Linked DNA regions of Lepisosteus oculatus. The protein of the gene in region 1 purifies or fractionates together with the protein of each later gene. This does not show direct contact. Links are inferred from orthologs where the notes say so. Each region holds a gene or a part of one and is shown on either strand. Other genes may lie near its edges.

What was found. The genes of interacting proteins can lie anywhere in the genome.
Region 2: the proteins of fus (region 1) and ddx39b purify together in Homo sapiens (affinity purification with mass spectrometry; 3 studies listed by BioGRID and IntAct, with this or other methods). This does not show direct contact. The link is inferred for Lepisosteus oculatus from reciprocal best matches to the Homo sapiens genes FUS and DDX39B.
Region 3: the proteins of fus (region 1) and khdrbs1b purify together in Homo sapiens (affinity purification with mass spectrometry; 3 studies listed by BioGRID and IntAct, with this or other methods). This does not show direct contact. The link is inferred for Lepisosteus oculatus from reciprocal best matches to the Homo sapiens genes FUS and KHDRBS1.

What each region holds. Positions count from the first base shown.
Region 1 is NC_090699.1:5,217,333-5,225,002, reverse strand, and holds the start of fus (RNA-binding protein FUS), read left to right. Parts: upstream 1-4,628; 5' UTR 4,629-4,729; coding exon 4,730-4,742; intron 4,743-7,378; coding exon 7,379-7,403; intron 7,404-7,670. Other genes in the region: vkorc1 (vitamin K epoxide reductase complex subunit 1), read left to right, coding at 961-1,070, 1,426-1,637. UniProt on the Homo sapiens protein: DNA/RNA-binding protein that plays a role in various cellular processes such as transcription regulation, RNA splicing, RNA transport, DNA repair and damage response. Binds to ssRNA containing the consensus sequence 5'-AGGUAA-3'.
Region 2 is NC_090709.1:41,005,739-41,013,794, reverse strand, and holds the start of ddx39b (DEAD (Asp-Glu-Ala-Asp) box polypeptide 39B), read right to left. Parts: upstream 3,091-8,056; 5' UTR 2,987-3,090; intron 1,761-2,986; 5' UTR 1,753-1,760; coding exon 1,536-1,752; intron 1,027-1,535; coding exon 899-1,026; intron 1-898. Other genes in the region: polr1h (DNA-directed RNA polymerase I subunit RPA12), read left to right, coding at 3,491-3,659, 4,412-4,552, 5,591-5,694, 6,489-6,598. UniProt on the Homo sapiens protein: Involved in nuclear export of spliced and unspliced mRNA. Component of the TREX complex which is thought to couple mRNA transcription, processing and nuclear export, and specifically associates with spliced mRNA and not with unspliced pre-mRNA.
Region 3 is NC_090706.1:3,047,127-3,054,773, forward strand, and holds the start of khdrbs1b (KH domain-containing, RNA-binding, signal transduction-associated protein 1), read left to right. Parts: upstream 1-4,557; 5' UTR 4,558-4,899; coding exon 4,900-4,993; intron 4,994-7,647. UniProt on the Homo sapiens protein: Recruited and tyrosine phosphorylated by several receptor systems, for example the T-cell, leptin and insulin receptors. Once phosphorylated, functions as an adapter protein in signal transduction cascades by binding to SH2 and SH3 domain-containing proteins.

The DNA.
Region 1 (7,670 bases):
CCTGGGTTTTACGACGAACCTTTTCCACAGACCCCCTTAAGGGCCACATGTGCATCCTCCCGGCTTCTGCCTCCTTGTTCCTTCCTCGCTCCCGCTGTAGTGATTTCGACATGTGGCCCTCTCCCTGCTCGTGCTCGGTGTTGTCCCAGCGGTCGCCTGTAGCTCAGGGCCCAATGGTTCTGACTGGAGCCTCTGGAGTTCAAATCAGAGTTTCCTGTGTCGCTTTATTAACATTTTGAATTGAAGTAAGAGACAAGATGTGAAAAGGGTTAACTTCTGCCTGAAAATTAGACTTGTAAGCAACAGGGGTTTATGGCAGGAAAGGGGGTTAACTGATAAGGATTCCAGATGCGAGCAAGGAACCCCCTGGGGGCATAATCTTAAACTGACCATTTGGCCAGGGTCTCTTAACTGGCCAAATACCATGACCCCCCTTACCATAACATCGAATAACATCTGAAGCAGCAAGCAAGGACTATATAACCTAAAAGTTTGTACCGGCACATCGAACAATACTTCGGTTTTGTTGTTTCTTGCGGGAAACAAGACTTCGGCTTTATTGTTCCTTGCATGCAATAAACTCATCTGTTTTACTTCATCTCGGGATCCAGAACCTTATTCTTTCTGTTACAACAGAATCATGTATGCATTTCGATTTTTATGCGTGTGTCAAGCGGGACTGGGGATTGGGCGGGGGGGTCCCCCTCAAAGCACAGGGCCCTGGGCGGCCACATACCCCCCCCCACCCCGAGCCGGCCCTGGCTGTGAGGCAGAAATATTAACCACTATGTAACCGTGCCCACCTGAAAAACTGCGCCTAACTCTAGTTCCAGATATAGATCTGGACTCTCGGACAGACCGCTCCCCAGACGCGTGCCGCGGGAGAGGTGGCCAGTCCGTGCCCGTGCCGGTCTGACGACGGGCGGGGGGCAGTGAGGTGCACTTCCCGATGTCTTCCAGGTGGGGGCGCGGCTTCGGCCTGGTTGAGCTGGTGGTGGGGGTCGACAGCCTGGCGAATCAGCCCAACAGTGTCTTCGGGGTCATCTTCTACGTGCTGCAGCTGGTCCTGGGTACGAGACTCCCCCCGTCCCTGTCTGTGTGTGTCTCAGTCTGCTCGTGTGAGCTCTCTCTCTCTCTGCTCTGTGACGGTGTGTGAACCCCACGTCCTCCATCTCTCTCTCTCTCTCAATTCAATTCAATTCCAGGTGCTTTATTAGCATGACTGATGGGTACAATCAGTGTTGCCAAAGCAAATAAAACTAATAAAATTAACATGGAACAAAACAAAAAATAGAAGTAAAATAAAACCTACAGACATGTTACAGACATTTACAACTCTCTCTCTCTCTCTCTCTCTCTCTCTCTCTCTCTCTGTAATTGAGTGTATCAGTGTGCTGCAATAGTAGTCTTCCTCTGTGTCTGCAGGTCAGTCGCTGTCCAGCAGGGCGGCGCTGTTGCTGGTGCTGACCTCCTGGCTGTCTGTGGCTGGCTCCCTCTACCTGGCCTGTATCCTGGTGTTCGTGCTGTGGGATTTCTGCATGGTGTGTGTCAGCACCTACCTGCTCAACTTCACCCTGATGTACGTCAACCTGCGCAGACAGAGAGCACTGAGAGCTGACAAGGCCAAACGGAGCTGAGAGAGAGGAGCTGTACATGAACACTCACACTGACACACACACCATACTGACACATTTACACACTCACACACTGACTGAGACACCCATACTGACACACTCACACTGACACATTCACACACTGAGACACACACACTGACTGACACCCATACTGACACACTCACACACACACTGATTTACACACATACACACTCACACACACTGACTGACACACTCAAACACTGAGACACACACACTGACTGACACACACACACAGACTGACACTCACGAAAGAACATGGGAACACAGGACGAGTCACAAACGCAGGAGTCATCCAGCCTGTTTGTTAGTTAAGAGCTAATTAATCCCAGAATCTTTCCGAGTTGTGTCTGGGTATCAGCTGCAACAACCCAGCTGGGCAGCTTTTTCCACTCTCCCACCACCCTCTATGTACAGAAGTGCCTCCTGTCCTGACTGGAGCATCTCTTCCAGCTGTACCTTGAGAGAACCCGGGGTATCAGCTGCAACAACCCAGCTGGGCAGCCTGTTCCACACCCCCACCCCTCTCTGTGTAAAGAAGTGCCTCCTGCTCTCAATTCTAAATGCTGCTTCCTATAGTTTCCTTTCGTGTGCTCTGTTTTATATGCCACTGCTTATTCTCAAAACCTGTTACATTCAGCCACGAGCTCCCACAGATCGGAGACCTGTTCAACAGGTGGCTGATCGATAACTGTGACTGGGGAGTGTTACAGGATACCATCAGTGTTACTTTTTTTTTTATTCTGGCAAAACCCCAAATAAATCTTCTTCAAGTACCTTTGATGTGCCTCTCTGCTGATTTTCGTTCTGAAAGAAGGATTTTACTCTGCGCAGTGAGACAGAGGAGGGAAATCTAAATCACACACACACACTCCCGTCTCCCGTTGGGGGTTCTGTGAAAGTGGGGGGTCTCCACTATTCTCTGGTCTGCGTGCTGTCTGCTCAGAGGCACACGGACCGCGTTCTGAGCGATGGACTGCGGGGCGAAAACACTGGTGGGGTTTTACAACTTCTCCTGACAAAAGAGGGGGTGATCAAGGAAATTGGAAGAGCTCGGGCGCAGAGCGTCTCAGTTCTCTAACTCTGTAGTTCTCAGTCCTGATCCGGGAGAAACACTGTCTCCTGGTCTTCACTCCAGCCTGGGCTCTTAATGACTTTATCTCAGACGATCTCAGTCCTGATCCAGGAGGAACACTGTGTCTCCTGGTCTTCGCTCCAGCCTGGGCTCTTAATGACTTTATCTCAGAGGATCTCAGTCCTGATCCAGGAGGAACACTGTGTCTCCTGGTCTTCACTCCAGCATTCCTTAAGTTATGTGCAGACGAGTTGGCCACAGTTTTTATGGATATTTTTAATCTTTTACTTTTAAAGTCCCCTGTTCCAGTGTGTTTTAAGAAAAAAAAACCACCATTGTACGTGTGTTGAATAAATATATTGCAACTTTGAATGATTACAGACCGGTAGCGCTCACATCTACCAAAATGAAATGCTTTGAAAGGCTGGTGATGAGCCACATTGACATCATGATACCGGAGTGCTTAGACCCCCTGCAGTTTGCACGCCTGTGTAACAGGTCCACTGATGATGCTATTTCCCTGGCTCCTCACACTGCCCTGGCTCATTTGGAAAACAAAGGCACACGTCAGACTGCTACTCATTGATTACAGCTCCGCCTTTAACACTATCGTTCCATCCAGACTGGTCACCAAGCTTAATGATCTGAGTATCAGCTCTGTTGTCTGATCCGGGTGTCTCTCTGCAGCTGGAGTCTGGATTCCTGACTGGCAGACCACAGACTGTGAGGGACGATGGAAAGCTATCTTCCCCGCTGACCGCTGATATAGGTGTCCCTCAGGGGTGCTTGGTCCCCTGCTGCTCTCCTTGTTTACCCACGACTGTGAGGGCCAGACGCAGCTCCAGGGCGGACACACAATTTCAACCCCGGTTGGCCCAGCTGTGAGTGTGTGTGTCTGTTACTCGCGCGTGTGAGTAGGTGAACCACCACCAGGAAAGAGCACAGAGAGGTGACCCACACGGAGGCAGTGAGAACATGCAGACTCCACCCTGACAGCGCCCCAGGGATTGAACCCGGCACCCCCAGCACTGCGCCCCTGTGCCGCCTGACTTTCATTCAATGGTTTCCAGTCCCGATCCTAGAGGACCACTAATTGAATTCAGTTCCCTATTTGGGGAATATTGTTAGGTTTCCCATCAGCTCCTGAAAGGATTTGGGATTGGGTGTCAATGCTGTACCAGTTGGAGATGAAAAACGACCCTCATTCAGACAAAGACGCGGTTCCAGCCCTTAAATATTTACACATCGCATATGACAATATTCACACATTACATTTTCACCGCTTTCTTTTCTTAGGTGATGTATGTATCAGAAACCGGGTCAGATGAGGATAACTGGGGTGAGATATTTAATAGAATGAGGATGCAGTGTAATCCTGTTCTGTTGCAGTGCAGAGAGACGAAGAGTTTACAGCCGCGGTGCCCTGTTACAACACACCTCCAACCCAGAGCCGATACGAAGCATCGCAAAACCCCATGTTAATCTCTTAATGAGAGGCGGATTAAGGGAGACCGGCGCTATTGTACAAAAACGTGAGGGGGTTTCTGGCACCCTCTGCTTCGTTTCAGTAAATGTATAAAAAGAGACAAACTTTAAAAAAAAGTGAATTGTTGTTCTCAGACGGGAATACGAACAGCAGGGACATCTTTTTTTCTGGTGACGGGAGGGGGGGGGACTGTTCGATTCGGGTAGTTTCCCAACTGCACCGCCTCCTCCCCCCAGGCATTCAAGGCAAGTGGTCTCGTCCAGCCGCAGGTTTTAAAAGTCTCCGCGCGGCGGCCCGGTGACGCAGTTTGTCCTCAGTGTCGAGCTGCGGAGCTGTGTCGTCTTCGGCGCCTTCGAAGTTTCTTTTTATTTCTTTCTCTTCTTCCCTCCCCCGCACCCCCCACCCCATCGGCTTTCTTTATTTCCCGTATTTATTTTCTTCGGAAGCAGTTTGTGCGTTTGAGGGAAGAAAAGCGCGGGCGAAAGAGTCGCGGAGCACAAAGACAACCCGACCACCATGGCGTCCAACGGTAAGAAAATAAAAACACAAATTTCTTACTTTTTTTTCTTTAGAAAATACCATCGTTTTATTTGTTTTTTAAAAAGTGGCCTTCGCCGCCTGCTGTGCGAACTCGTGGCCGTTAACCCGCCTGCGGGAAAGAGGCGGTTAGCCTGTGGGTCTAATTCATTTCAAACCTCCGCTGTCCGCGCCGGAGTGAAACAAGCGGCTTCTCCGGTTCTCTGCTGTGTGTAAGTGAAAAGTCTCGACGTCTGAATTTGAAGACGCTGCCGGGGTCGTGGCTCCGGGGAGAGAAACGCGTAAAAATCACACAGTTCGGGGTTTGAACGTGTGGGTTTCTCCTCGCGTCAGGGGCTCCGCTCGCCCCGGCCTCCCGGCTCTGTGTCGTTCTGGTTGTGCGCTTTTTTTGTTGTTGCTGAAATCGGGTCCGTTTCCGGCCGGCTGGCTGGGCTGGCGGCGGCGGCTGTTTTCCCTCCCGAGAGAAGGGGGAGAGGCGAGACAAAAGCGGGGCTGTCGCCTCTCCGCGGCCGCCGCCATCTTGCCTCCCCCTTTTGTGCGCGAGCTGGCGCGGGGTGTCGCGCCCTCTGGTGCGCCTCGCGCCCCCGGGAACGAAGTGTCCGGGCCGCCGAGGTGTGATTTTGGGGGGCCCCGGGGTTGAGGGAGCCCCCCGGATTTGCTGTGGGGGAGCAGGTGTGTGTGTGTGTAGGGGAGTGGGGGCGGGGCGGAACCGGCCATGCCGCGCGGAGCGGCGCCTCCATCCGGGTCATCCCGCTCAAGATGGAGCCGCCGACTTCCGCTTCCGGCCGGTGTGGAGATCGGGAGAGGGGCGGGAGCTGATCGCCGCGCTGCTGCCCCGGCTTCTCAGGCCGCTCGTTACCCCCCCGGTGACGACACGAATTCATTGGCGTTGTGTAAGGAAGAAAAATGGAGGAGTTCCGAATTAAATCACGAATTTAAATGAATTAAATTTAATTAAATCAATTAAATCGAGAGTTCGTGTGAATTGCGCTGGAGAGGCGGCGGCCCTTCCTGCTCACTAGCCACCTCGATGACGAGGGTGATGGAAGAGCAAATCAGCACAGGCTTGCGCAGCAGACGATTCACTACTGGGATGTTCCAAAGTGATCCTTGTGCAGCGTTAACAAGTAGTATTTGTCGCCAAAACCATCTCAAAGTCGAGAGCGATATTGCAGTAATATCCAGTCAACGATGTTTCTGTTGGCTTAAAATGGGCGTTTACCAGCACGCGTGTTTACAATGTAATTAGGCTGCTTCACGTCGTTGGGTGCCCCCCCCTCACTCGTTCTAAATCACAGACTTGGAAATGGTCTATTTTGTGATATAATTGCAGGTTTTACACGTTGTGCCTTTTACTTTTAACGTGGTTTGAAATGTACTCATTGCGAATTCTTTCTAACCCCAAAATAAAAAAAGTTGCAGTTCTGCTTTAATACGTATGCTGAAAAGCAGCTGCAAGTGAGAATAGTTTAATCAGCACATCTAGTCTGTTTGGTCGTGTGTGCTCATCTGAGTGAATTGTGCATCACCCAGCTGTGTCAAGAGGGGAGTCAGCGTATTGGTCTCAACAACAGGGCTGGGCAGCTTGTTCCCCTCTCCCACCACCCTCTCTGTACAGAAGAGCCTCCTATCCAGGCTGGAGTTGATCACCCAGTTGTGTCAAGAGGGGAGTCAGAGTATCGGTCTCAACAACAGGGCTGGGCAGCTTGTTCCCCTCTCCCATCATGCCTTTTCAAAATTGATCATGCAGCACCCCTACACTGCCGAGCAACCGGGGGTATAGTCACTGAACTCCATTCAGACCACCTGGGTTCAAGCGCAGTACAACTAAGTTCTCTTATATTCCTGCAGCCATTGACCTGCTTCGTGTGCTCGATGGATTGTATTTTATTTTTCATGACTGTCCCCCCCCTTCACAAACGTACGGTTTGCTGCTACGAATCATGCGAATTGTCACGCGCGTTTTGAGTGGCAAAGGCCACTTTCAAAGCTACGAAGACGTGATGCAAAGAAACATTTCGAAACCTCAGGCAGGTCGGGGGAGGGAGGAGGCAGGCGACTGGTTTGGTATCGGGTGCTGGCACCGTCGGGCTCCACTGCCGGGTCTGGCGTGGGTGGGAGTGAGGACACTGCGGCTTCGCCTGCTCGCTCCTGTGTGCTCCTGCTTCCCCCGGGCCCTGGAGGGGCGAGGAAAGGGCCACTGTGTGTCGCTACTCACAAAGCAAGTGAAGTGGTCATTCTGAGGTCTAACGAGATAAGCAGTGGATTTCATCAGATAAAAAGTAAACCACAAAAAAAGTTTGTCCTTGGTGTTTCTTGTCATTTTTGGTGAAAATGGTTGAAGGGGGACTTTCTTGGGGGTCTGGAACAGCTTGTTTTTCTTTGTAAGAGATGTTGGAATGGGTTTTTCTTTGTATGAGTTGTCACTTTGCAAAAAGGTTTCTGGGAACGAATTACGTTCGTGAAAAGAGGTCCAGGTCTCTTTTTTTCCTCATCATACTCGCACGTCTGGGTGACTGCTTCATGCTGTGAATTTTGTCCTTCATCTGCCTGTAAAACGCGTTTCGCACCTGGCACAGTGCAAGTGTCGCCAAGTGACTGACCCCCCGTTTCTCTTTGTTTTTCCAGATTACTCCCAGACTGCGCCCCAGGGGTGAGTGACTCTGTGTTTCTACTGTAACTGTGCCAGCCTGCAGCTGATTAACGTGTTTTATACAGTGACTTAAAAAATGATTTATCCAAGTTTTACAATAAGAGGAATGGAGCTAAAAGGAAGAACAGCCAGGGTTAAGAATGTAGTGGATCATGGGTCGGCAATTCGTTTTTTTTGCAGACCCCAGCTTGTTCTCCGTGAGACACGGGCTCACAGACAGGGAGAGAAGCTGGGGGTCAGAGCGCAGGGTCAGCCGTTTATACAGCG
Region 2 (8,056 bases), on another chromosome or scaffold:
GAGAAATACTATCAGGGCACACACGCCAACATAAGCCACAACACAGTCTGTCCAGTACGGGCTGGACAGGAAGAGACAGACAGAGGAGTGGAGAGGGTATCGCCCATGTCCAGTCAAAAGCTACAGAGAGAGACAGAGGGGAATATACTTATTGCAGTATCAGACCCATCACAAATTCCAGAGACACAGACAGACAACACACACAGAGACTTTAACAGCTCCTGTCCACAGACAGACAACACACACAGAGACTTTAACAGCTGCTGTCCACAGACAGACAACACACACAGAGAGATTAACAGTTCCTGTCCACAGACAGACAACACACAAGAGACTTTAACAGCTCCTGTCCACAGACAGACCACACACACAGAGACTTTAACAGCTCCTGTCCACAGACAGACAACACACACAGAGACTTTAACAGCTCCTGTCCACAGACAGACCACACACACAGAGACTTTAACAGCTCCTGTCCACAGACAGACCACACACACAGAGACTTTAACAGCTCCTGTCCACAGACAGACAACAGACACAGAGACTTTTAACAGAGTGACACGCTCCAGAGATTGAGAGAGATAAACGGACAGAGGCAAACATCGTGAGAAGGAATCAAGGTTAAGACTTTGCCAGAAACTACATCTCCCAGAAAGCACTGGGGGGGATGGTGGGGGCAGCCACCCTCCGCCACCTGACCAATTGGGAGGCGGGCCACTGGTCAGGTGACAGTGGAAAACCAGGAAGCGGAGGCGGCGGTGGCTGATACGCAGGAGAGGGCTGTTGTCTGGGCAGAGAGGCAGGTGGAATGGACCCGAGAGGGGGACCCAGGGATCTCGGGACTGGACTGGACTGGACTGGACTGGACTGGACTGGACTGGAGAGGCGGATCCGGTACCTGCCCGGTGACGGGCTCCAGCTGCTGCAGGGTGGCCAGCACGAACACGGCCGTCTTCCCCATCCCGGACTTGGCCTGGCACAGCACGTCCATTCCCAGGATGGCCTGCGGGATGCACTCGTGCTGAACTAGGGGGGGGACAGGGAGAGGGGGGAGTCAGGAAGACAGAAATACAGACTCGCTAATGGAACAGAGCACAGCATAGACACTGCGCTGGACACTGCTGTCTGGACACGGCCCTGGGACCCGCTGTCTGGACACGGCGCTGGGACCCGCTGTCTGGACAGTGTGCTGAGCCCTGATATCTGGACACCGTGCTGAGCCCTGATATCTGGACACTGCTGTCTGGACACCACACTGAGCCCTGATATCTGGACACCACACTGAGCCCTGATATCTGGACACTGCTGTCTGGACACCACACTGAGCCCTGATATCTGGACACTGCTGTCTGGACACCACACTGAGCCCTGATATCTGGACACTGCTGTCTGGACACCACACTGAGCCCTGACAGTGACAGTGGCCGTGTCTCTGTGAGAGTGGCCGTGTCTCTGTGAGAGTGTATGTGAGATAGGGTGTGTCTGTGTGAGGGTGTCTCTGTGAGAGTGGCTGTGTCTCTGTGTCCCTGTCTTACCTTCAGACGGGTGCTCGAACCCGCAGTCCACGATGGCCCTCAGGAGCTCCGGTTTCAGCAGGAAGTCCCGAAAGCCCGAGCTGTGGATGGACACGTAGGAGCCCTTCACCTCCTTCTTGACGGGGAGCAGGTCAGCCCCGTCTCCCCCACCTCCACCTGCCTCCACCTCGTCATCCTCATAGTCCAGGAGCTCGTTATCAACATCGTTCTCAGCCATGGTATTACCTAGAGGGAGAGAGAGGGGCTAATACACCCTGACTGGACACTCCAGTACACTAACACTGCACTGAGAGAGAGAGGGGTTCATACAGACACACTGACTGGACACTCCAGGACATGAACACTGCACTGAGAGAGAGAGGGGTTCATACACACACACTGACTGGACACTCCAGTACATGAACACTGCACTGAGAGAGAGAGGGGTTCATACAGACACACTGACTGGACACTCCAGTACATGAACACTGCACTGAGAGAGAGAGGGGTTCATACAGACACACTGACTGGACACTCCAGTACATGAACACTGCACTGAGAGAGAGAGGGGTTCACACAGACACACTGACTGGACACAGCAGTTCCCTAAACACGTCTGGTTAGTGATCCCCACAGGAACAGACTGCCATTTTTCACACAGGAGTGTTCACAGCTGTGCGTGGCGGAACAAGGAACCTTAACAGAGTGTCTCGCCACCCTGTTACTCATTTAGACGAGAACATATGATCTTTTAAATGCAGACGTGGATCCGCACTCGTTCAGGACCTGCAGTCTCTGAATCCAGCAGTCCCACTGAAGGCGGTGTTTTTGCGGTCACACACGCACGAAGATCTGTACAATAGTACCGCCAACCTCACCGTGCTGTGGAGGGGACATCTTGTCCCGGGACAAACGGGCTCCGACAACAACCAGCCCGTCGGTCCCTTTCGACCGATCGAGCAGCACGACTGACAATTTCCAGATCCGTGTTTTTTTTTTTTAAACTAGCGGATGTAAAACCGCGCCGGACGTGAGCGAGATCGGGGCTACACGGGGGATCACCCCCCCAACTCCCACTCCCACGGACACGCGAAAGCTCACGGGACGGGCTCAAGCCGTGTCTCCGGACCGGACCGGACCGGACCGCGGGCACCCCGAGTGGGTGTAGGGGCGTTAGGAAATCCGATTTTTTCCCGTCTGTTCGAGGTTTTTTTTGTGTGTGTGTGTGTAAAACTACAATGGCCCAGTGCGGGTTTTTTTTTTTGTTCTTTCAAAAAGACGGGCCCAGTCGCGCCACCCAGCAAACCGCCCTCACGCGAAAAACAAAAATTCCCTTCGAGAGAGGAGTCACGCCGACCAGCACGGAGAAGAGGCGGAAGAAAGCGGTTTATGAGGAGAAAAAAACCCGCAAACGGCGCGTTGAGAGGAGGGGGCGGGTGGTGGTTTTTAACCGTGAAATAAAACGCGTTTACCTTCGAATGGTTTCTCCGTCTCTCGCAGCAACGACTTCGGGGCGTTTGGTGACGTCACTCGGGTGCGCCGGCGCCGCGACCCACCGTCCCCCTCCCTCCCGTTTTCCCATGATGCACTACGCGCAGGACTCCCGTCTTTTTCCCCTCACAACCTTTTATTTGTTTTTTTTTTTCCAAACAAAACAGAAAGGGTGTTCACAAATAAAAACGCACAGACACAGAACGGCACGCGGCCAGAGGTGATTATAACCTAGCACACAATCAGTGAACATCTTTACAGACGTGAGGTGTGTTTTTCCGGGTTTTTAATGGAAATAATGTTTCGCTTTCACCATACAAAAACATTGACGGAGGGAGAAGCCTCAGATAATTTTGTTTCTGATTTCTACCCAGACTATTAATAGATTCATGCATAAATGTTCTTATATAGTTCGTATTACTATAAAAAGCACTTAGATACGGACACTATAGAATAACAAAACAAAGACAAAAAGTGTTTTTTAAATGCCGGCGCGCATTGAACGTCACTTCCGTTGCCGGGCTGACGTCATGCGCCCCAGCAGTCCGCAGCCAGGAAGAGCTCTCGACTGTGTTTGTGTTCTGCGGACGACACGTGTCTCGGCGCAACAGCGAGGTGAGGGCGACAGCTACCCGCGACTGACCTCCGATCACGGTAGGGACCCCCTGATATAATGCGGAATAGGCGTTATCTGGGACGGTTACAAGGACTCTTAACTCGGCGGATGGTTGTTCTTAAAGACCAAGTTGGAACGGCGCCTACAAATAGCGAGTAAGAGACCGGGTCTGACGACCTACAGGATCAGTGACCACAGCCTGGACACAGACACTGGTCACAGGCAGACCTGGCTGTCCAGAGAGGACAGGCTCAGTGACCACAGCCTGGATACACACACTGGACACAGGCAGACCTGGCTGTTCAGAGAGGACAGGCTCAGAGTGACCACAGCCTGGACACAGACACTGGATACAGGCAGACCTGGCTGTCCAGAGAGGACAGGCTCAGTGCCCACAGCCTGGATACAGACACTGGACACAGGCAGACCCGGCTGTTCAGAGAGGACAGGCTCAGAGTGACCACAGCCTGGACACAGACACTGGACACAGACAGACCTGGCTGTCCAGAGAGGACAGGCTCAGAGTGACCACAGCCTGGACACACACACTGGACACAGGCAGACCTGGCTGTCCAGAGAGGACAGGCTCAGAGTGACCACAGCCTGGACACACACACTGGACACAGGCAAACCCAGCTGTCCAGAGAGGACAGGCTCAGTGACCACAGTCTGGTTGTAAATTTTAAAGAGGCCAGGTTGTTCTCTGATAGTGGAATTTAGTCTGGGTTTCGAGAACGGGGTCGTGGCGGTGCGCGCCGGTCGCCCCGAATTGATCGGTTCCCCTCCGCAGCAATGTCAGCAGACGCCCTGCCCGGCTCCTGTTTCCACGGCGACCCGCTGTTCTGCCCGGAGTGCGGCACCGTGCTGCCCGTCCCCGGCGTGGAGGACGTGGTGAGCTGCCGGCGCTGCGGCTACGACATCGGCGTGAGCGGTCAGTGGCTCAGAGCAATTGATTGATTGATTGATTGATTGATCGATTGATTGATTGATGGATTGCGTTTCCCTGTGGGTGGCGCTGTTTGGCACCAACTAACCTTACCAGACCCCTGGACTGACTGGACCAGAGTCACAGACCCCTGGACTGACTGGACCAGAGGTCACAGACCCCCTGGACTGACTGGACTGGGGACACTGACCCCTGGACTGACTGGACCAGAGACACAGACCCCTGGACTGACTGGACCAGAGGTCACAGACCCCCGGACTGACTGGACCAGAGTCACAGACCCCCGGACTGACTGGACCGGGGACACAGACCCCCGGACTGACTGGACCGGGGACACAGACCCCTGGACTGACTGGACCAGAGACACAGACCCCTGGACTGACTGGACCAGAGGTCACAGACCCCTGGACTGACTGGACCAGAGGTCACAGACCCCCGGACTGACTGGACCAGAGGTCACAGACCCCCGGACTGACTGGACCAGAGTCACAGACCCCTGGACTGACTGGACCAGAGGTCACAGGCCCCTGGACTGACTGGACCGGGGACACAGACCCCTGGACTGACTGGACCAGAGTTACAGACCCCTGGACCGACTGGACCAGGGACACAGACCCCTGGACCGACTGACCCCTGGACTGACTGGACCGGGGACACTGACCCCTGGACTGACTGGACCAGAGTCACAGACCCCTGGACTGACTGGACCAGGGACACTGTCCCCTGGACTGACTGGACCAGGGACACAGACCCCTGGACAGACTGGACCAGAGGACACAGACCCCTGGACCGACTGGACCAGGGACACAGACCCCTGGACTGACTGGACCAGAGTCACAGACCCCTGGACTGACTGGACCAGGGACACTGTCCCCTGGACTGACTGGACCAGGGACACAGACCCCTGGACTGACTGGACCAGGCACACTGACCCCTGCTCCACCTGTGTGAGAGGGGATTTGCCCCAGGAGTGTGCAGGGCTCAGTCCCTCAGGAGTGCCCTCTCTCCCCCTCTGTGCTGCAGAGCTCGCTGACCAGGTGGTCACCTCGTCGGTCGTCTTCAACAGCCTGGAGTCCAGCAGCACCGCCATGATGTCCGAGGAGGAGGGAGAGCTGAAGGGCCCTGTGGTGAGTGTCCTGGGGTCGCTGGTCCCTGACCTCTGACCTGGGGTCAATGGTCACTGGCCCCTGACCTGTGTCCTGGTGTGGCTGATCCTTGACCTGTGTCCTGGGGTCACTGATCCCTGATCTCTGACCTGGGGTCACTGGTCACTGGCCCCTGACCTGTGTCCTGGTGTGGCTGATCCCTGACCTCTGTGATGGGGTCACTGGTCCCTGATCTCTGTCCTGGGGTCACTGATCCTTGACCTGTGTCCTGGGGTCACTGATCCCTGATCTCTGTGATGGGGTCACTGATCCTTGACCTGTGTCCTGGGGTCACTGATCCCTGATCTCTGTGATGGGGTCACTGATCCTTGACCTGTGTCCTGGGGTCACTGATCCCTGATCTCTGTGATGGGGTCACTGGCCCCTGACCTCTGTGATGGGGTCACTGGTCCCTGATCTCTGTGATGGGGTCGCTGGTCCCTGATCTCTGTCCTGGGGTCACTGGCCCCTGACCTCTGTGATGGGGTCACTGGCCCCTGACCTCTGTGATGGGGTCACTGGTCCCTGACTTGTGTCCTGGGGTCACTGGTCCCTGACTTGTGTCCTGGGGTCACTGGTCCCTGACCTCTGTCCTGGGGTCACTGGTCCCTGTCTGCAGTTCTTCTGGGTTCTGAATGGACCAAGATGGACTGACACGCTGGGCCCTGATAGGCTGCCTTGACCCCCCTGGCCCTGCTGAATCCAGGTCCGCACACTGACGGTGGGGGGGGGGTGACCCCTGACCTATGACCCCTGACCCGTGTCTCTGCCCCCAGATTGACCGCAGGTGCTCTCGCTGTGGCCGGGAGGGGATGGTCTACCACACCCGACAGATGAGGTCCGCCGACGAGGGACAGACCGTCTTCTACACCTGCACCCACTGCCGGCAAGTCGATCAGTCACCCGACCAGTCTATCGAGTCGATCAGTCACCCGACCAGTCTATCGAGTCGATCAGTCACCCGACCGGTCTATCGAGTCGATCAGTCACCCGACCGGTCTATCGAGTCGATCAGTCACCCGACCGGTCTATCGAGTCGATCAGTGACTCGATCAGTCTATCGAGTCGATCAGTCACCCGACCAGTCTATCACGTCGATCAGTCACCCGACCGGTCTATCAAGTCGATCAGTGACTCGATCAGTCTATCACGTCGATCAGTGACTCGACCAGTCTATCGAGTCGATCAGTCACCCGATCAGTCTATCCAGTCGATCAGTCACCCGATCAGTCTATCAAGTCGATCAGTCACCCGACCAGTCTATCGAGTCGATCAGTCACCCGACCAGTCTATCGAGTCGATCAGTCACCCGACCGGTCTATCGAGTCGATCAGTCACCCGACCGGTCTATCAAGTCGATCAGTGACTCGATCGGTCTATCACGTCGATCAGTCACCCGACCGGTCTATCGAGTCGATCAGTCACCCGACCGGTCTATCACGTCGATCAGTCACCCGACCAGTCTATCGAGTCGATCAGTCACCCGACCGGTCTATCGAGTCGATCAGTCACCCGACCGGTCTATCGAGTCGATCAGTCACCCGACCGGTCTATCAAGTCGATCAGTGACTCGATCGGTCTATCACGTCGATCAGTCACCCGACCGGTCTATCGAGTCGATCAGTCACCCGACCGGTCTATCGAGTCGATCAGTGACTCGACCGGTCTATCGAGTCGATCAGTGACTCGATCGGTCTATCACGTCGATCAGTCACCCGACCGGTCTATCGAGTCGATCAGTCACCCGACCGGTCTATCGAGTCGATCAGTCACCCGACCGGTCTATCGAGTCGATCAGTCACCCGACCGGTCTATCGAGTCGATCAGTGACTCGACCGGTCTATCAAGTCGATCAGTGACTCGATCGGTCTATCACGTCGATCAGTCACCCGACCGGTCTATCGAGTCGATCAGTCACCCGACCGGTCTATCGAGTCGATCAGTGACTCGACCGGTCTATCGAGTCGATCAGTGACTCGATTAGTCTATCGAGTCAGTCAGTCAATCGGTTGAGGACAGGACAGGAGGCTCTCCTGTACACAGAGGGGGGTGGGGGTGGGGAACAAGCCGCCCAGTCCGTGTGGTTGAAGCCGATACCCTGGCTCCTCTCCAGATACAGCTGGGTGAGCTCCTCCAGTCAGGACAGGAGGCTCTTCTGTACACAGAGGGTGGCGGGGGTGGGGAACAAGCTACCCAGCCCTGTGGTTGAAGCCGATACCCTGGCTTCTCTCCAGACACAGCTGGGTGAGCTCCTCCAGTCAGGTCAGGGGGGCTCTTCTGTACACAGAGGGGGGTGGGGGTGGGGAACAAGCTGCCCAGCTGATACCCCGGCTCCTCTCACACA
Region 3 (7,647 bases), on another chromosome or scaffold:
CCATGTAAAAACCAGAGTTAACACCAGTAGCCTGACCTCTTCGGGTTTCTATGGTCCAGCAAGGCTGGATCTGACCAGTAAGGGGATGGGAGGTCCCCAAGGATTAACCAGATTGCTGGAGCTTTTAATTAGTGCAGAAGAACCAGTAGGTGGCACCCTTTCCTCTGGACCAGAATTTACAAACCAGAATGTTCCAGTATAGTGTACAGTATGTGTTAACTGTGCAGTGGGAAGTGTCAGCTTTGAGAAGATACTTTGCATGTCTTCTTGCCCATTAAAGATCCCATGACCATTCCTAAGAGCACAGGTGTTAACACCAGCAAATATCTTGTCATCTTAAAAAGTCTCACTTTTATTTCATATGATCTTACATAATTGAACACCTAGGATTTGCATTAGCACTTTACCAAATTCCATGCTAATATTTTTCCTAAACCGAATGTTTCAGCATAGATAAAAAATGATTATGACTGCTTTTCCTGATCTGCAGTAGTTCTGTGTGTCGAGACAGTGTCAGACTTCCTTCGCACAAGCGGTGTTCCCAACACAAACCACACAGAACAAAAAGAATTGATAACAAATGAAGACAGTGAATAGGGAGGATTAGACAAGGATAGGGTTACTTCTGCCTGAATCAGATTCTCATTTTGGTCAAAGAATTTTCACTCATCTCTTAGAGACGTCTGCATTTCCATCGCATGACGCGCGAACTCAATCCGTTGTTTTAAAGCGCTGAATTGAATTAGGTCCCCGTGGAGAGGATTAGATCAAATCCCCTTGCCCGTGCCTCGGGGGGGGGGGGTTGAGATGATGTAAATTCTGTTCATCACAATGCTTTAGTACCTTAAAAGCTGAAAAGTTATACAGCCCAAGTCACGGTGCAAACAATGTTTTCAGCACAGCAATGTTTCTTATAGCTTTCGCCTTGCTATCTGGCCGACAAAAACCCTGTTTATCGCACAGTGAAAACGCTCATTACTTTTGGTCTGTGGCTGACGTGTCCGCCCAAGTGACTTGCATTAGTCCCCACCTCTACAGCTAATAATTCTACTGGCACAATCTCAGTGAAGAATCTTGCTGCTGCCCCTGTCGATAAACTACTGACCAAATTGATGATTTGTATTTAAATCTGACTTGTTTAGTCCCTCTTACATTTCCACACTCTCATCATTCAGATAAACCCTCCTTACGAGCAGCAATGTTGCCTGGAAGAGCCAGCTTGTCAACATTTTGCTTCAGTCTGCACATCCTTCTCAAGGATGAATGGAGCAAGTTGAATGCCTGACCTATGATAAATAATACATTAACTCTCGTCTCTTGATACTTTTGCAAAGCTCTTCTGTTTCTGTACTTTCACCTCCAACATCATGGGCTGCCAATGTGTGCTTCAGGTTAAGAAGCCAGGTAATCAATCAGTTTGATTAAGCTTGCAAAGTATGTAGTTTTCATTTTTGCCTGATCTTGCAAAACTCATGAATGGGGTGAATATGAATGGGGAGAGGAGCTGGGCAGAATTAGAAACTCTAGCAATTTACAGAGGAGTTGTTAACTCCTGCCTCTGGGGCCTTACAAGAGCAAACAAAAGTGAACAATGGGCATGGCTCTTTTGTGTAGGCAGCAGTCATCACACTCGTTCAGGCTTGCTCTTGGAAGTCTCAGAGGCTTCCAAGACGTTTGCGAAGGTGTTCGCACTTGCAAGACAGCAGAAGTCACACCAGTCAGCCCAATTAACAATGAGGGACTGTAGACAGCCTCACACCTGCTCTACTAGAGAATAGGTGTGCTGTATGGTTTGTGACAAAGCAAAGGAAACATTCAGTAACGTGAATGAAAGAAGTTCTGACATTTTAGTACTATGGAATATATGTCAGAAAATAAAGTCACTTTGTGGTATTTTACACTGTACTAACATGAAGGGGGTTCTCTTTTATAGTTATAGCCTGGAGAAATAAAACAAAATTAGAGACCAATTCAGATGTTCAGTATTCAGGGGCTGGGTATGTCTCCAGTGGTCATGTCTGGCACTGCAATAATGAGTCTAGTTATTGGACTATGATCCATTTGCTTTCCCATATCAGAAGATCAGTTGTGCTCTTTATCTTGTCTGTTTTGTTCCTGATTGCACAGAATCTGTTGTCCAACTGCATAGGTTAACAGAGGATGTCCATTGTGAGCCAGTGTTGCTTTATGCTACAGTAAAGATGAAACAAAAAAGAGGTATATGTTTTTTTTTTCAATTGTAATTACAAATGAGATTAATGAAACATTAAAATAATCATTTGTCACTTACCATCATACATCACTTATGTGCTTAGGGGGGTAAGATATAAAATCAACCAAAAGAAACACCGCTAATAGCCAATGGTTGCATATCTTCAATATTTTAATGAACTATATTTGTTTTACTGAAACTCTGCCTGGGTCGTGTGCATTGCAGCCATGTTTTGCAGAAAACAAGTCTCCTTGGCATTTAAGGCATCTCTGTTTTGGGTGGTGGCAGACTGGGTGGACTACAATGGGCTTGTTTAATTTCAGAAACAAGGCGTTAGACAAAAACAGGACAGAACTGGGACCGGGTGGGACTGGTTTCTAAACTTAAACTGCCAGTCTGACAGTTTAAAATGATAGTCTCACACAACCCATCCCTTCAAGGAAAATATACCGCTACCACAACACTGGGTATTTTGTGGTGAAGGAATAAAAAATTGTACTCGGGAAGTCTGGGCTGGAGGAGGCTGAAAGAGTTAATTTTGGGGGGATTGGTCTGGCGCATAAACAAGACGCCAGCCTGAAAGGTTTTGATTTAGGTTTTTGTTTCTCCCATTCCCTTATGTGAATTTTTAATTCTCTGTGTGAGAGGGAGCCCAGACTCCCGCTTAGTGTTATTAGTATTTTATTGACAAAACACTTGTTCTCTTAAGCTCTGGGAACATTGTCTTGATATACACCATGTTTTCATTTGCATTTCAGCAGATTGACAGGGGGACTTATCATGGGCCCATAATTCCAAACTGCACCTAGGATATTGTAAGAAAATAAAAACCAGATTAAATGCATTAGACACATTTAGCCAAAGGTAAACAAAGTGCTTTTTCTAGCACAACTGACATTCCTGTAGGAACTATATAACTATATATTTTCAGTTCAGAGAAGTGGAGTTCCGATGTGTTACATTTTATATACATCAGTTCCTCACAGATATCGGTCATCCGTCCATCTTTATTATTATAAAGAGTTATTATCGGACCACGTAGGCCTATACAGGGCCAAGGTGAGCTGGAGACAGAGGCCAGAGGGAGAGCATGCAGAATGTGCTCTATGTTGTACTCGAACACCAGACCAGAGAGCTTTGGAGACTGGAGAGAGCACTGCCATGCTCCCCCGCATAAATAATTTTAGGAAATTTTAATAATTAGTTTTAATAATAATATTTCCTTGCATCCGCACGAGTGCCTTTCACCCCAAGGGTGCTTTCCCTACAGGAGGGGCCCCACATCGTCCAGTACTGAAGTGCGCCCCCACCAGGGTGACGCGCAGCAGCCCACAGATCAGTGGGAGGGGAGGGGTGAGAATTTGCTTCCCCAGTTGAAGTAAGGAGGGAACTCTGGGGAGGTCAGATCGTACAAGCACACTAACAGCGCCATGGCAATTTTAAACGACCAAGCAGTCAGGATCGCGATCTAACATTTAATCCGTAGAACGGCACCTCCTACAGAGTAGCAAATTGTCTCTTATCGCCATACTGGGGCACCGGGTTATAAATTCTGGCCCAGAGGGAAGAGTGCCACCTACTGGTCCACCAACACCGCTTACAACAGCACTGATCAGGCCCACCCCAGCATCATCCATCTCCTGATACACAGGTCGGAGGTTCACGATTTGCGGGCGATCAACGAACGCCTCGCACACACTTCACAGTATTTTCCTATAGAGAGTAAAAAAGCTCCACCTTCCGGACACACAGTGTAAAGCATTCCGAAAAATGAATAAAGAACAATTAAACCCATTGTCCATAAAAGTTAACCCATGTTTGCCGGAGCTGAGAAAATCAGTGATGAGACGATGTAGTAAAGCAATGCTCCACCGTGCTGTTTAACCGACTGAACCACACGGCATAGTATTTCTTTTTAGACATTTCTGTGGTCAAATAGGAGATCCTAGAAATATCCCTCAGAGTTAAAAAAAAGAAAACAAATCTGCAGGTTTGTTTGGCAACATTTTATCGACGAAGTTGTTAACCTGTAATGCCTTCGTGTTCCCCTTTGTTACTATCAGAGCAGAAACGACAGAAGCACACCACCCAGATTTCGGAAAAAGTACTTTAATGTCGTTAAAAATAAAAAAAAATCGACACATGTCGCGTTACCTCGGTTTTACGTAAATGTACAGAGAGGGGCACGGCGTGATCTCCAACCAACAGTGAGGGGGGAAAAAAAAACCCCAACCACAACACATTTTTATCGACGCCAAATTCATTTAAGAACAGCGGGCCGGCTGCGCCTTTAAAAATTACAGCGGTCGGAGGTTGTTGTTTTTTTTTCAAAGGGGGAGGGAGAGCCCGACCATTTTGAATGAATTTAGTGAGCTCACTTCCTCTCGGCTTGCTATTTTCCCCCTCGGTCGCAGGATTTTTTGTGTGTGTGTGTTCTCAATCGCTTTCCATTCGTAGGGAGCTAAGAAGGAGAGAAAGAGAGGGAGGGAGCCATTACGAGGTTGCTAACCGACACGACCGGGAGGCTCGGCACACACTTGGGCCCGATCTCAGCCAGACCTGCAGAAGATTACGAGGCCGCTAGGAGCTTTTCCCCCCCGCTGCTGCAAACGCATTTTTTAATCCTATTTTTATTCCTCCTCCTCCTCCCCAAGACTGTAAACGCAGCAGACACAATAGTAAACAAAATGGAGAACGAAAGCAAATATCTCCCCGAGTTGCTGGCGGAGAAGGACAGTCTGGATTCCTCCTTCACTCACGCCATGAAACTGGTGTCCACAGGTAAATCGAGCCGCTCTGGAAACTTTTCGTTGTTGTTGGTGGTTTTTGTGTGTGTGTGTTAAGGAATAAACGGGGCGCCGAGCTGCCAAAAGCCGACGAGAAGGGGGGCTTTTCTTCTTCTCCTGCTGCTGCTTGTGACGGTGAAAATGAAAAGCGTAAATGTTTCTGAAGTTGGCGGGGGGAAGAGCGCACGTCGTGGGGAAGAGTGTCTGTGAGACAAAGGGTTTCGCTCACCCCTCTCGCACACGGCCGGGTACTTGTTGGGTTTTTAATTAAAAAAAACGACACAACGTTTTTTTTTTAATGGTGTTTAACATAGTCGGGCGGCGTTGGTGTTCTTTGATTCTCGCTTTTAAATTTTAATTTAAAGCCGGTAACCCGATCGGGTCGGCATTCGTCTCGGGTGTCTGCCGGCGGCGTGGTGACGACGAGCCCCGGGCCGGCCGGCCGGCCGAGCAGCTCCCCGGTGAAGCCGCCGCCGTAAAATGTAAAAAAAACAATAAAAACGAGTCGTTTTTGACTCGTTTCTCGGGGGGGTGAAAGGCGAGGAGAGGAGAGCGTGTTTTCCCACGGCGTGGCTTTGTGGAGTGTGAACAGGGCACTGTCGGGGAGGGAGGGGGGCATCAAGTTGCAGGAAAGGATGGCGCCCTGCCTGCGCTCCTCGGGTATTGAAAGTGTGCGTCTCGGTGCCGACGGTCCCTGCATCTCGGTCCCTTTTGTTTTCCGATCTTGATGCGGTTTTATTTTTCTTCTTCTTCTTCTTCTTCTTGTGTGTGCGTTTCTCTCTCGCCACGCCTGTCCGCCGGTTAAATTGCAATTCACGAAAAGTTGGGATGCTGCTTTTGTATTTATGGGAAGTTTTAGCTGTGGGGGGATGAATGTGCGTTTCTGCAGGGGGGGTACAACCGCCCCCCCCCCACCCCCGAGTACTTATTTTTCATCAGCAGAAGAAAGATATTTTAGAAGCGACCTCGGGTTTTTTTTTTATGAGTTGAGCTGCAAATCGGGACGTAGGTTTTTAAACTGTAGCGCAGCTTTAAGCACGATCTGCATATGATGAGCGAATTGATAAATGGCGAAGCTCCCCTTTCTTTAAAAAGAAAAAGTTACAGAATGGGGAAAAACGGATTTTTCCATTGCCGGACCGCCTTGATTGCAGAAGCGTTAATTGTTCCCTTTGTGGAGAGATGAAATCAAGCTTTAGCTGTCGTGCCGTTTACACGATTGAGCGTGTTTTGCATGTACGGAACCGGCGCATTTCAGTCGCTGGGCTCTGGGTTTACCTCAAATGCTTTTTTTTTTTTGGTCGACGGGTTTTAAGGAGTTTATCAACCCCGTGCCGAGACCTCGCACGGTAAATATTTCTCATGACACGTTTGGAAACTTCAGAAAGAAATGTTATCAGCCTCGGGATTTAGGGTCCAACGATATGTTCTTTTACAGCCTAATTCCAGGTGGCATCTTTCCTAACGGGGAAGATGGTTCCCCGATGCCTTATTTCTGGATATTTGTTTGTGTGTGTGTGTAACCGCAGCACCCTCAGTGTTTCAAATAAATGACTTTAAAACGACCGAGCCTCACTTGGCCTCGGTGGGGAGAAACCACACAGTCAGTCTCTCGGAGGAAGAGGCGCTTTAGATAACGGTGCTTCAAAAAAAAAAAAGCTCTTTTCAGGTCCCTCTGTCGGGGTGCGAGGCTCTCTGCAGGGGTAACTTCATTCCTTGGCACGTTTCGAGTTTAGTCTTCTGCCAACATCTCAGCTCGGGACTATTCGCTTGCCCGCTGTTATATTTTGATCCCCGCCACCGTCAAGTCCTCTGTTAGTTTTTTTTTTAAGTGGATGGCGAGACCCCCGGTGGGCATGGATGTCTTCAGGGTGGGGGGGTGACAGTCCAGAGGGTTGAAAAAGACTGAAATAGTTTTTTTTTTCGCTCCAAGCTGGGGGGGGTGGGGGTGGAGGAAAACCGTTAACGTGGCAAAATTATATTTTGGAACAGGACGCGATCAGACGTTGCTCTTGTTGGGAAGGAGGTTGAGAATAGCCCAGTCCATCGCCAGACGGGAGATGTTAAGCGAGTTGGGGGGGTCTCTCACGCCCGCTTGCCCGCTCCTTGAAACCAGCATTGAGCCTCTCGTCAAATGCCCATCCACGTTTTTTTGTTCTTTTTTTTTAAAAAAAAGAAACAACTTTCAGGGTCTGAAGACGTGGAATACTATTTTCTGGTTCTTTGGCAGTGGAAACTTGAATGTTTTCCAGCTTTTTAAACGGTGTGCCTGTTTCATATTAAGACGAACATAGTTTCTGCAATAAAAGTGTCACAAGTGGTTGTAAATGCTCGTTTCCCCGTGCTTGCCTGTGAGCTCCTGCAGTTGCTGGTTTGTGTTGAGCACTGTGAAATTTTTACACCCCCCTTTCAATTCTCACTTCGTCCGCCACTGCTGGTGGCTTGAAATAAGATTATTGAAATGTCTGGTTGCATCGGCGTGTTAATTGGACCAGCGGCACGATGGCTTAAACGTTTCAGTCTTGTTCTGTTGGCGATGCCGCGGCTGACATAGTCTTGCATCTAGCTTGGCTTCTGCCTCCGCTGTCTGGAAATAATCACTCCAGAACATTGCATTACACCTGTTTTTTTTAGCCAGCTGTTCATGGA